3 linked regions of the Canis lupus familiaris genome follow. The protein of the gene in region 1 purifies or fractionates together with the protein of each later gene. This does not show direct contact. Links are inferred from orthologs where the notes say so. Each region holds a gene or a part of one and is shown on either strand. Other genes may lie near its edges.

Region 1 (4,262 bases):
CCAGAGGAGGATAGTCAGAGAAGCTCTCAACACACATAGGTTTGCCAGGAACCATATCAACAATGGCAGCATCCCCAGATTTCAAGAACTTGGGACCATCTTCCAGCTTCTTTCCAGAACGACGATCTATCTTTTCCTTCAGCTCAGCAAACTTGCAGGCAATGTGAGCTGTGTGACAATCCAGCACAGGTGCATATCCAGCACTGATTTGGCCTGGATGGTTCAGGATAATCACCTTGGAGGAAAAAATTGCATTTAATACATTTCAAACAGGATCTAGCAAAGAGAACATTGCCACTCTTAAGTGTGTTACCTGAGCTGTGAAGCCAGCTGCTTCCATTGGTGGGTCATTTTTGCTGTCACCAGCCACATTGCCACGACGAACATCTTTGACAGATACGTTCTTGACATTGAAGCCCACATTGTCCCCAGGAAGAGCCTCACTCAAAGCTTCATGGTGCATTTCAACAGACTTTACTTCAGTTGTAACATTGACTGGAGCAAAGGTGACCACCATACCAGGCTTAAGAACACCAGTCTCCACTCGACCCACTGGGACAGTACCAATACCTAAAATATTTAGAAGCATCGTGTCAGATACCTTCTGTGAAGAACAATCCATAAATCGTATTTTTAAATGGCAATGTTCAACTTACCACCAATTTTGTAGACGTCTTGGAGAGGCAGACGCAAGGGCTTATCAGTTGGACGAGTTGGTGGCAGAATGCAATCCAGGGCTTCAAGCAGTGTGGTTCCGCTGGCATTCCCATCTTTACGGGTGACTTTCCATCCCTTGAACCAAGGCATCTAAAAAAACAAGATTGTCCATTAGCATTCCCCAAACTGTTGTCATTTAGTGTCAACATATGCCTCTTCTATCACTTCCTCAAAGCCTTGAAGTCACTTACGTTAGCACTTGGCTCCAGCATGTTGTCACCATTCCAACCAGAAATTGGCACAAATGCTACTGTGTCGGGGTTGTAGCCAATTTTCTTAATGTAGGTGCTGACTTCTTTAACGATTTCCTCGTATCTCTTCTGGCTGTAGGGTGGTTCAGTGGAATCCATTTTGTTAACACCAACAATTAGTTGTTTTACACCCAGTGTGTAAGCCAGAAGGGCATGCTCACGGGTCTGCCCATTCTTGGAGATACCTGCTTCAAATTCACCAACACCAGCAGCAACAATCAGGACAGCACAGTCAGCCTTTAAAAGACAAAAAGACATCCTGTTAAATAAATGTTCCTCAAAAAGATGAACTCCCCCTTTTTTCCCATACAAAACCCAAGCCTACAGTTATTTTCAAGTAATCCTACAAACCTGAGATGTGCCTGTAATCATGTTTTTGATAAAGTCTCTGTGTCCTGGGGCATCAATGATGGTCACGTAATACTTGCTGGTCTCGAATTTCCACAGGGAGATATCAATGGTGATACCACGTTCACGTTCAGCTTTCAGTTTATCCAAGACCCAGGCATACTTGAAGGAGCCTTTTCCCATCTGTAAGGATTAAGAATGGTTACTTGGTAACTTAAACACAAACTTCCAACTTGAAATCCCTAACTCCTGCTTAAGCAGAAATGCGGATTCCACTTTACAGTTAGGTAGTTCTATCTCCCAAAGTTACATAGATAAAAAACTCTTCAGCAAGCACAAACAATCTACCACAAGCAGCAGATTCTGATAGACTAGTAACTAGTTTTGGGGAAGTTGACACTGGCCGACTTTTTTTTAACGATCTCTCATTAAGTTAGTATACCAACCTCAGCAGCCTCCTTCTCAAATTTTTCGATAGTTCTTTTGTCGATCCCACCACATTTGTAGATCAGATGGCCAGTAGTGGTAGACTTGCCCGAATCTACGTGTCCAATGACGACGATGTTGATGTGAGTCTTCTCCTTTCCCATTTTGGTTTAGGTTTAGCGGTGGTTTTCACGACACCTAAATTTTAGGGTAGGAACAAACCCTTTTAACTACTGTCCCGGAGGCTTGAAAATAAGCCACGACCAAACTCGCAGAGACCAAATTCCAAGAATTACAACCAGGGCCAAGCTGGCCCAACTCTCGTCTCCACCCACCAAGCGTGGGGTTAACTCCACCGCATAAAATCCCCTCCCCCCTCCGGGGAAGGCCTGCTTGTAAGGCGTTGAGGCGGAATGGAGGTGCCAAGACGGCGTTCGGTACACCGTAGGGTCACAGGAAGCAGCGGCCTAACAGGGAAAGGCCCTTTTCCTTTGTGTGGGTGACTCACCCGCCCGCTCTCCCGGGCCGCCGCGTCCTCCATTTTGAGCTGCCTGCAGCAGGGCCGGAGAGCGGCCATCTTTCCGCGCACGCAACTGGTGCCGAGCGGGCCGGCCTCTCCGCCCGGCGTAGGACGGTACATCGCGGCGCGAGGCCCGGCACCAGAGCCGCCCGGCCCACTCCACGGGACTCTCCCGCGTCCGACGCGGCGCCCACGGCTCGTGGGCCTTCCCCGCCTCGTCGGACATGTGCGCCGGGACGAGCGGGCCTCGTCGCCGCCCTCCGCGCCTCGCGGCGGCCCCACACCCCAAGAACGCGACGACCGCGGAAAAGCCCACCCCGTTCAAGTCCTGACCAACCTCCGCTCAACCATCTCGACGGAGAAAACCATAGCGGCCTTCTTTTGGTAGGTCAAACGTCTGGAGGCTTAAACCACTGTACGAGGGCAGGCAAGAAGGTGCGGCGGAATTCGCACGCGGCCGCCACAACACCCAAGCCAGGCCTCAAACCAACCACGAGGCAAAAGGGGTCCTAAAAAAAGGCGCAAGGCCTGGAACCTTCCCACCCACTCACAATCCGAAATTCGGGGTCAAGAACATCGTAAAGTGGCTCGGTGGCGCGGCCGTTGTAAAAGGCACGCGAGGGCCGCTGGCAGCTCAAAGAGGCCAGGCCCGCGGGAGCCACACCCGGCACTCACCTGTGTTCTGGCGGCAAACCCGTTGCGAAAAAGAACGTTCAAGGCGGCTACGGCACTTATATACGGTCCTCCCCCACCCTCGGGGAAGAGGGCGGAGCCAGCACACGACACCACTTTCCCAGTTTACCCCGCGCCAACTCCATCAGGCACCGGTTCGGTCGCCATCCCCTCCCCCTACTGCTCGGGGACCGTGGGCGATGTGCGCTCAGCCCACTAAAGAGCGCACATCTCCTCGCGCATGCTCCTCTTGACCCCGATGACGGCGAGAGTGAGTGGGTGGGGAGGCGGGGACGAGCTTTCCGCTCGTTCTATGTTAGTGAGAGTTTAACGACGGTCCCTGGGATTCCCCGAGGCTGAAGCGAGTCCTCCTTTGTATGAATTACTCTCAGCTCCAGCTGAAGGGGCGGGCGGGGGGGCGAGGAGGCGGCCCTGCGGGGAAGTACTGAATCTGCCCTCTACGGTTCCTGGTTTAACTGCAAAGATGGTGTGGCGATTGGAGTACGCCTTCCCTCCGCAGTATACCTCCAGTTCTTAACCTGGTCCTCTCCAAGGTCCAGGACTGCCCCTTTGAGCCGCTTCCTCCGCTCGTCGCAGGTCCGCCCTGGGCTGGCTCCTCCCTCGCCCCTGCCTTCTCTTCCTCTCGGGGCTGGAGAGTACAAGGCCCGGGCTCCCAGGGCAGCGAGGGACCCGAGGGGCCGCCTTCACAGCCGGAGAATCCGCAAGGGTTTCAACTCGGTGGCCGTGACCCGGACGAATGTGCTCTTGGGCTAGCCTTTTGGCTTGTTCCAGTCCGAGCCCGCTGCTTTTACCGAAGCCCGAGTCACACGTTCACCCCATATGGTACTCCAGACGTCTAGTTCTTCAGTTCAGAATAGATTTCAATCCCACAGTCTGCCTTTTAACTCTAGTTTCATTACGTTATAGAAAGACCCTATGTGTGTCTACTCTCGTGGTACATTTTTTCTACAGTGTACACTCATTTGATTGCTAGCATGAGCAACCTAAAAAGAATTTTTCAAATTCAGTCTTTCCGCATGATCTCAAGTAGAAACTAAGATCTACGGCTTCAGCAAGCTTATCCACCCAATTTCCTATCCCCAACACTTGCTGCGAATCACTGCTTCTTAAAGGTGGCCTAGCCCATTTAAATAAATTAGTTCATTTTCTGTTAAATGGATTTTAACTCCATTTGAGCATAAATTTAGGGCGAAACCGGATGAGGCCTTTTTGGTTGGCAATCAGGGCAGACTGAGAAATACTTTCAAGAAGGAACTTTTATTTTTAATGAGCTAGTTACTATATCAGTATGTCTCTTCCATGTGTGG
Region 2 (4,387 bases), on another chromosome or scaffold:
GGAGAGATGGTGCAGGACTGGGTGCAGAGCTCTGGGCGGCCAGGGGAGCCACCCCAGACGACCACAAAGCAGCTAGCTACTGGAGGGGAGGGACAACCAGGACATGCAGCATTGGCAGAGCAGAGGCCTCAAGGCCCTGATGCTGATGCAGCCAGAGAAGGTTTTTGGGCTGAGACAGGGAAGGGAGTGTTGCTGTCCTCAGTGAGCTGGCGCTGTGCCTTGTGGCACCGAGTGTGGCAGGGGCGGCGGCGGGCCCGGCGACGCTTGCAGCAGCAGACCAAGGACAAAGGTGGAGGCACTGCTGGCACAACAGCATGGCTGGCGATTGAGGCTCAGGTCACCCAGGAGCTGGGAGGACCAACCGGTGCAGCACAGCGGCCAGAGGCTGAGCCACTCCTGACCTTTGTGGCATCTGCCTCCCAGGCTGACCAGACTCTCACCGTGACCCCAATCCAGGATTCTCAAGGCCTGTTCCCTGATCTCCATCATTTCTTACAAGTTTACCTCCCTCAAGCACTTCGAAACCTCCTCAAGTGAAGACAGGGACCCTAATGGGCAATAAAGCTGCTAGTTTAATAAACACTAGAGTTTCCTCTAATTTCCACCTGGTAGTAATCCTTCCACCCACTACTTGCCCTCCCCAGACCTACTGCTCTTCTCAGACATGCCTTTTTTGGCCACCCTAAAATAGGTCTGGGCCTATTTGCTTCTTAGCATTTATCACCACCTGCAGGGAGGCCTAAATGTGGTGTGTTCCTGCACCCGGAGCCCGCTCGGTAGAGTTCTTGAAGGATGGAGTGCCAGGTGGGCGGCTTGGGCAGTACCTGGAACAAGAACCGAGTTTGCCTCCACTTTACCTTACCGCCCAGATTTATATGGTGACGGCCTGAAATCGGGGTTCAGGGTTCTTTGTCCATTCTCTCACTTAACAGAGTTCATCCTGTTCTGATTAAAACGGGGAAAAACACTGTCCGACCTGAGCGTGGGTAAAGGGGTGTCCATCATCGGTGAACTGGCAGCCCTCTGCAGGGTGGCGGGAGGCAGGGATCCGCTGTGTTCTCCCTCGGCCCTTCCCGGCTGCAGGCCCTGCACCAAGGCCCTACCTGCAGCGATTGCATCCCGGAGCCCGCCGGGTGGTTTAAACGGAGGAGACCTCACTTTGGTAGAGGGGTTTCTGACTTGGGCTCCGGTGAGATCATCCTCCTCTCCCGTAGAAAACCAGAGCGGGAACAAACGTACTTAGGCACACAGGACTGGTTTCCGCCCCTAGTGAGAGTCCCCCAGTCCTGACGTTAGGGGCCTGGAAGGATCTCCGTCAAGTCACCGCGGGTTTCCGAGCTGGAGGGGAACGCCCCTGGGACCTGGCACGGCGCGGAGTTGGCAGCCGTGCCACGTCGCCGGGAAGAGGAGGCTTTCCAGCTAGTTCTCGGTTTACCCTCCGCGCCTCGCACCTCCAAGCGGGACTCCCATTGGCCTCCGTCGCCTGCGGGGCGGGCCAGTCAAGAGTCGCGTGGCGCAGGCGCGAGCTGTCCCTGTGACGACCAGCAGGCCCCACCCCCTTCTTTCTGCAATTCAGCCGCGGCGGGGTGTAGAACTGTCGTGCGTATGCCTTCTGTGCCGTCCTCGCTTTGCGGCTGCTGTTCCTCCGCGGCTCTCCCCTCCCCCCTCCTCTCCCCGACGGCTTACTTTGCGGCAGCGCCGAGCGCCCCACCCCCTTTCTCTGCGGAATCACCATGGCGGCCGGGGTAAGTTTGCCGGCTCCGGAGATCCAGGTCGCGGTATCCGACGCCATCCTCTGCCCGAGTGGAGCCCTCCGGCGTCAGAGAAGTTCTGGAGCCGAGCGAGGGACTGGTCCTGGGTCTGGAGACCGTACTGTTGGGAGAGCAAGGCTTCCAGGCCCCGGCGGGGAGCTGAGGCTGGAGCTCTTGGAGGCCAAAGAGGTGGAAGGGTCTGGGGCAGAGCGGCCAGGAGATGTCGGATCCTGGTCTTCTGGGGCCTGAGAAGGGGGTTCGGGTTCACTGCCGCCTCGGGACGTGGGATCCGGGCAGGTTGACAGAACTTTTGCGACCGTTTTGTGGGGGAGCAGCAGGGACGGGGCGCAAAGGAGGGTCTTTGTGGGCAGGCAGGGCGGTCTCCGGGTAAGGGTCGTGCGGCGGGGAGGTGTGGGAGGGAGAGGGCTCTCCGGGCGGCGGAGCCAGACCGTGTGGCCGGTTAACAGAAGGAGAAGCAACGGCAGAACTCACTGCGGGACAGGACCGGAGGGACGAAGGGGACGCAGGACGGGAAGGAACGGCTCTTGGGGGAGACCGAGTTGGTTTAGGAGGAGAGGATGCCATTCGATTTCTCCGTGGCTTTTCGGAGGGGAACTTGGAAATGGTCGTGTGTGTGTGTGTGTGTGTGTGTGTGTGTGTGAGAGAGAGAGACAGACGGGGAGTGATGCTTTCGAAGGGGGTGAGCGGCTCAGTCGTAGAGTAGGCAGGTACTCGTTAGCCATCAATGAATGAACCAGAGCTCTAGGAAGGGAGGAATGTGTCGGCAGGTGGAGTCTGAGGGAACTACGAGTTCTGGGTTTCTCCACGATATATTGGAGGAGACGAGAATGCTTCTGGGGATGTCCTTAGGGAAGGTCAAACCTGTCAGCGCTTTATTTAGCAGTTGGTGTGTAGTTCTGTCTTGGGCATTTCAGCGGACTCTGATTACACATGGCAGATACTAGAGAGCGTGGTTCACCAGGGGGAGTAAAAGTGAGTTGAACAGATTGGGAATAACTCCGGGAATTTATCCCTGGAAGTGACATTTCCGACTGAGAGCCTCGTGCTCATTAACGTTCCCTCCCCTCCTTTCACCCACAGACCCTGTACACATATCCTGAAAACTGGAGGGCCTTCAAGGCTCTCATTGCTGCTCAGTACAGCGGGGCTCAGGTCCGCGTGCTCTCCGCACCACCCCACTTCCACTTCGGCCAAACCAACCGCACCCCTGAATTTCTCCGTAAATTTCCTGCCGGCAAGGTGAGTAGAAAAGTGGAGAGGGGTCTTTGGTCCTGAGAACCCAGGGAGTCCTGAGATGGTCTCAGTCTGAAAATGGTCTCCACCTTTAAAAGGGAATTTTCTGTATAATTTGCTCTTTATATATTTCAGTGATTTAAAATTCCTTTGAGTTAAGTGAAGATTCGCACATAGTTAAAAACGATGCAGAGCTGTTCAGTGGCTTGTTATAAAATTCGCAAGTTTCTTTGTATTTGCGGGAAAGAGAATGGGTTTTGGCTGTTTTCAGCGCAAATATATCGAGTATCTGCCATGAGCCAACCAAAGGGCTTATCGAGGTCGATAAACAACCATGCTAAACAGAGAAGAGATAAATGCAGTTCAGGGAGCACCACAATACTTTCAAGAATACGGAGAGAGATGACACTTGGTTTTTGGTCTTTTGCATATTTGATTGAGGGATTTTATATAAACAGTTGATAATATTTAAATCTTTGCGGTTTCTCATGTGAGTTCACATTGTAAGGGATACCAAGTTACTTAAATTTTATTTCTGGTTCCTAAGTTTCAGATTGTAGTAGTTCATATCAGTAGTTTGCTTAGTAAGGATTGTCAGCCTTATGTAAGAACTTTATCCCAGTATTGGCTGGTGAGTAATTCCTGATTGTTTTACCTAACGTTTTTTTTTTTTTTTTTTTTTTTTTTTAATTTTATCTTTTGACTGTTTTATCCCAGGTTCCAGCATTTGAGGGTGACGATGGATTCTGTGTGTTTGAGAGCAATGCCATTGCCTACTATGGTAATTTGCAGTGGGTGTGGGAATGGGAAGACCAGGAATGAAGGAGGTAGGAGAGGATGAGGGTGAGCTGTAGTGGACAGGAGAAGAATTTTTACGGACTTGGATCGATGTTGGCCTGACCCCAAAGTTCTGACCTTTGTGTTCTGCCTCTGCAGTGAGCAATGAGGAGCTGCGGGGAAATACTCCAGAGGCAGCAGCCCAGGTGGTGCAGTGGGTGAGCTTTGCTGATAGCGACATAGTGCCCCCAGCCAGTACCTGGGTGTTTCCTACCTTGGGCATCATGCACCACAACAAGCAGGTAAGCCTTGGAACTTGGGGAGAAGCCAAGGCCCAGGATGAAATCAGCTCCTGAGTGTCAAGGAGCAAGAAATAAAATAGATTGAGAAAAGGAGATGCTAAGAATTTGTGGATAATAAAAGACCTAATCTTTGGGGTATGAGTTTGGAGCACTGCTGTTGATAGTGTCTGGGTTCTTTGTTACACAGACCCAGTTGGAGGTGGTGCCTGTCATGAGTGGTCAGAGGAGAGATTTCTGTTATAGAAAAGCTATCCCAAATGGTAGGGGAGTGGTTACATCAGGTGACTTCTAAGGTTCCTTCTA
Region 3 (4,266 bases), about 34 Mb from region 1:
TGGCTCAGTGGTCCGCTACGTGCAGTTGCCGGCAGATGAGGTGGACACACAGTTGCTGCAGGATGCAGCGAGGAAGGAGGCCTTGCAGCAGAAACAGTGATGGTTCCTTCTCCCTTCCCTTTCCCTCTTCTGTTAGTGACCTTTCACCTCAAGTCACAGCCTGGGATTCCTCCCTCCCATATTTGAGGGGGATTTTTTTGGTCTTTTTTTTGTTTGTTTTTAAAGAGTGGAGGCTTTTTCTTTAAGGGATGAGTGGATGAGAATATTAATAGTGGGGAGTAGCTCTCCTCTGTTGAGGAGGGGACGATAATAGGCTAGGGAACTGCAAAGCCTGCCTTGTCCTCAGCACCTGCCTTTCTCACTCCTTCCCTGGATATGGCAGGAGAATCTCCTAGATCTCTCCAGGGCAGCATGTGATTCATTTGGGGGATGGAAGGAATCTGTCCCGCATCGGGAATAAACTTATGATGCACATTTGAGTTCTGGTTCTGTGTGTTTTGGGAAGGGGCCCGGAGGGTGAATTCATCTAAACTCTGCTCCTTTATTACCGCAGTTAAGAATCCCGCCCAACTTCCCAGCATTATCTGTCATTCTTCTCCATGGTGCACATCATAATACCTCACCTGGGCTACACCAGGTTTCTTGAACATTCCCCCACCCGTGTGGCCTGCCTACTGTGGTCTTCCTGCACTGGACCCACAAGGAGAACTTGCTGCCTTTCCATCTCTGTCCCGTTCACCTGACAGTTAATCTTATGAGACACCAAAGTGCATTTGCTGCTGCTGGATTGGTTCCTGAACCCAGCCAGATCACTACACTCTTTTTGAATATAACAGATCAATGCAAGTGGTATATATTTTTTTAAAGATTTATTTATTCATCAGAGAGCGAGAGAAAGGCTCCATGCAGGGAGCCGGATGTGGGACTCGATCCTGGGACTCCAGGATCACGACCCAAGCCAAAGGCAGCTGCTCAACCGCTGAGCCACCCAGGCGTACCCAAGTGGTATATTTTTATTGCGGAGTTAGGACTGGGAACTAACCGGCTCACTTGGCAAACAGGAGTCTCCTCTAGAGACGAGTTCTCAGCACCAAAGGAGCTGACGGCCGGCAGGCGGGACGCCTGCTTCCGGGGGGGGAGAGGCCTCGGGAGGAGGCTGCGCGCCCCAGGCCCCCGCCCGCCGCTTCCCGGGCTGCCCGCTGGGCGCCGCCCTCGCTCCCTCCCTCCCTCCGCCCCTCCCGGCCCGGCCTGGCTCGAGGACCCGCGCGGGCTGCCCGCGGAGGCGCCTGACGGGAGCGGGTCCGGGGCGCTCCCCGCTCCCGCGCCCGCGCCCGCGCCCGTGTGCGCCCTCGTGCGCCCTCGTGCAGCCCCTCGGGAGCGCGGCGGGCGGCGCGGCCGCGAGGGCTGTCGGCGGGCATCGCCCCCGCGCAGGCGGAGCACGGCCGCCCGCGCCACGACCCGCGGGCCCGGAAACGCTCGTTGTCACAAAGGGGGACACGTGGGCGCGCACGGCCGGCGGCGGTGCAGGGAGCCGGGGGCGCCCCGAGAGCCGCCCACCTCGGCCCCGGCCGCAGGTGGCTGTCCGGCTCGGCGTGACCGCCTTTCTCCAGTACGTACCCGCGGATCCCGAGGGGCAGCCCCGGGCGCGCGCCGTTGTGGAGCCAGGCCCTGGGCTCCCGAGGCCGGGTGGGACCTCCGGCCCTGGGGGACCCCGCGGGGTCCCCTCTGCTCGGGTCGCTCAGCCGCCCCCGTCTCTCTGCCCCTAGGTCTCCCTCCACGTCGTTCGGACCCCGGCGTACCCATGTCCGTCCTGTACGTCTCCCCTCATCCCGACGCCTTCCCCAGCCTCCGGGCCCTCATAGCCGCGCGCTACGGGGAGGCCGGGGAGGGCCCGGGCTGGGGAGGAGCCCACCCGCGCATCTGCCTCCAGCCGCCCCCGACCAGCGGGACCCCCTGCCCCCCACCGCGTCTGCCCGCCCTGGAGCGGGGGCCCGGCGGGCTCTGGGTGTGGGGGGCCACCGCCGTGGCCCAGTTGCTGTGGCCGGCGGGCCTGGGGGGCCCCGGGGGGAGCCGGGCCGCCGTGCTGGTCCAACAGTGGGTCAGCTACGCCGACACGGAGCTGATACCGGCCGCCTGCGGAGCAACGCTGCCCGCCTTGGGACTCCGGAGCGCTGCCCAGGACCCCCAGGTGAGCGGGACGGAGGAGGGGAAATGCAGAAGAAGAAGATGAGAAGGGGTAAGGAGCCCCGGAAGGGCGCGGGCCAGGCGTGGAGAGACTCTGAGCAAATCCCCGGTGGTCATCTGCAGTGATAACCTCGGCAGGTCTCTTAAATAGCCTTGGTCTTCGTCTTGGAAAGTGGAAGTTTTCCTGTTGAGGAACACGCTGAGATGAGAAGAGCTGTGCGGAGCGCCGACTGGTGCTCGGGGTTCTAGAGTCTGGGAGGAGAATCGAGGAGTGGAAGGCAGCGGAGGTGGAGGTTACTGCCTAGTGGGTTGAGGGAGGGAGGAGTGGCGGGGTGCTGGGGATGGAGGAGAAGGCAGGGAGAGCAGAGAGTGCGCTAGCAGGTTGAGGCGGTTGAGTGCAGGTTGAGGCACTTCCAGAACCATCACCTCCTTGCACAGTTTTGAGCACATGGTGGATCGTTAGTATTCTTTGAATGAATGAATGAATGAATGAATGAATGAATGAAAGCAATGAATCCCTGGTTTACACCCTGGCTTGCTCCCTCATGTCCTACTTACACCGCCTACCATAGAGGGCCCCTCTCTGGAATGCCTCATCTCCCTCAGCCTGATTTGTTTTTCTTCACAGCACTTACAGAGAAAAATAGGGTGATGTACTCTATATTTGCGCATTTATCGTCTCCCCCGCTGAAGTGTAAACACTGGAGTGTGAACACGAGTCAGGGTCTGCTTGTCTCCACATTCCTTAGAGAAGTGCCTGGCCTGTATAGGTGCTTAATAAACACCTCTGGAGGCAATAACTGTGTTGCCTCATGCAGTCTTTAACTTCTGGTGCTTAACATATTCATGTGACACATAGTAAGTGTGCAGCAGGAATCTGTTGAACAAATGGAAATATTTTTATTATGACCATTTGGCCTCAGAGGTGGTGATTTTTGGGAGCGGAAGGACTCGTGGATTGAGTGGGTTACGGGATGGGGAAATGAGGTGGGCCAAGCCTAGTCCCTTACCCCTTCCCTTTCCCCATAGGCTGCCCTGGGGGCCCTGGGCAGGGCCCTGAGCCCCTTGGAAGAGTGGCTTCGGCTGCACACCTACCTGGCTGGGGAGGCCCCCACACTGGCTGACCTGGCAGCTGTCACGGCCTTGCTCCTGCCTTTCCGTTACGTGAGTCACAGGGGCCTGGAGAAGAATGGGGACGTGCAGCTCCCATCAGACCTCACTCTAAGGTGATTAAGGATATTTTATTTCTTTTCACCGTCGCAGGTCCTGGACCCTTCTGCCCGCCGGATCTGGGGTAATGTGACTCGCTGGTTTACCACATGTGTCCAGCAGCCAGAATTCCGGGCAGTGCTGGGAGAGGTGGTTCTGTACTCAGGGGCCAGACTCCTCTCTCAACAGCCAGGTGAGGAGGGTTAGGGAGGGAAGGAGGCGTTCCTCTGGGCCTTCTGTGGGGCTCATGTTCCTGACAGAATCGCTAGGGAAGGACCCTGAGGGTGGGGGGGGGGGGGGGGGGGGGGAGGCCAGCATGGGGAGCCCTTGGGCCGCTGGAATGGCCCGAATGAAACAGTAGTATGGTTCACAGAGGATCCCCAATGGGCTAAGCTGGCGTTTCTGTGCCTCTGTCCAGGCCCCGAGGTCCCTGCACCCCCAAAGACGGCCTCTCAACTCAAAAAGGAGGCAAAGAAACGGGAGAAGCTAGAGAAATTCCAGCAGAAGCAGAAGACACAACAGCAGCAGCCACCGCCGGCGGAGGTGAGAAGCTACGGGGAAAACTAGAAGGTTGGTGCCCCAGTGGGTGGATGACCTCCCTGCCTCTATCTTTTCCCTCCCAAGCAGAAGAAACCAAAACCAGAGAAGAGGGGAAAACGGGATCCTGGGGTCATTACATATGACCTCCCAACCCCAGCTGGGGAAAAGAAAGGTATGAGAGGCGGGAAGGGACCCCCCTCCTTAGCTGCTGCTGTCTTTGGCATTGTCCCTTCCTGCACTGCCCTTGCTTCCACTTGGCTTTGGAGGATTTGCACAGCCCCCCGGCTGCTCCCAGTCTCAGACACTGCCCCCTCCCCGTCTCTCCCCCAGATG

What was found.
Region 2: the proteins of EEF1A1 (region 1) and EEF1G purify together in Homo sapiens (affinity purification with mass spectrometry; 5 studies listed by BioGRID and IntAct, counting the BioPlex papers as one, with this or other methods). This does not show direct contact. The link is inferred for Canis lupus familiaris from reciprocal best matches to the Homo sapiens genes EEF1A1 and EEF1G.
Region 3: the proteins of EEF1A1 (region 1) and VARS1 purify together in Homo sapiens (affinity purification with mass spectrometry; 3 studies listed by BioGRID and IntAct, counting the BioPlex papers as one, with this or other methods). This does not show direct contact. The link is inferred for Canis lupus familiaris from reciprocal best matches to the Homo sapiens genes EEF1A1 and VARS1.

The regions. Positions count from the first base shown.
Region 1 is NC_049233.1:35,820,406-35,824,667, forward strand, and holds the start of EEF1A1 (elongation factor 1-alpha 1), read right to left. Parts: upstream 2,875-4,262; intron 2,760-2,874; coding exon of another isoform or gene 2,651-2,759; intron 2,588-2,650; coding exon of another isoform or gene 2,487-2,587; intron 1,941-2,486; 5' UTR 1,907-1,940; coding exon 1,763-1,906; intron 1,500-1,762; coding exon 1,320-1,499; intron 1,206-1,319; coding exon 909-1,205; intron 808-908; coding exon 657-807; intron 571-656; coding exon 314-570; intron 236-313; coding exon 1-235. Other genes in the region: uncharacterized protein LOC119874198, read left to right, coding at 2,487-2,587, 2,651-2,759, 2,875-3,205, 3,532-3,777. UniProt on the Homo sapiens protein: Translation elongation factor that catalyzes the GTP-dependent binding of aminoacyl-tRNA (aa-tRNA) to the A-site of ribosomes during the elongation phase of protein synthesis.
Region 2 is NC_049239.1:54,579,546-54,583,932, forward strand, and holds the start of EEF1G (elongation factor 1-gamma), read left to right. Parts: upstream 1-1,586; 5' UTR 1,587-1,733; coding exon 1,734-1,745; intron 1,746-2,852; coding exon 2,853-3,011; intron 3,012-3,722; coding exon 3,723-3,786; intron 3,787-3,941; coding exon 3,942-4,084; intron 4,085-4,387. Other genes in the region: TUT1 (speckle targeted PIP5K1A-regulated poly(A) polymerase), read left to right, coding at 1-537. UniProt on the Homo sapiens protein: Probably plays a role in anchoring the complex to other cellular components.
Region 3 is NC_049233.1:1,403,273-1,407,538, reverse strand, and holds the start of VARS1 (valine--tRNA ligase), read left to right. Parts: upstream 1-1,465; 5' UTR 1,466-1,609; intron 1,610-1,766; 5' UTR 1,767-1,801; coding exon 1,802-2,188; intron 2,189-3,213; coding exon 3,214-3,348; intron 3,349-3,447; coding exon 3,448-3,586; intron 3,587-3,811; coding exon 3,812-3,936; intron 3,937-4,017; coding exon 4,018-4,105; intron 4,106-4,263; coding exon 4,264-4,266. Other genes in the region: U6 snRNA-associated Sm-like protein LSm2, read left to right, coding at 1-100. UniProt on the Homo sapiens protein: Catalyzes the attachment of valine to tRNA(Val).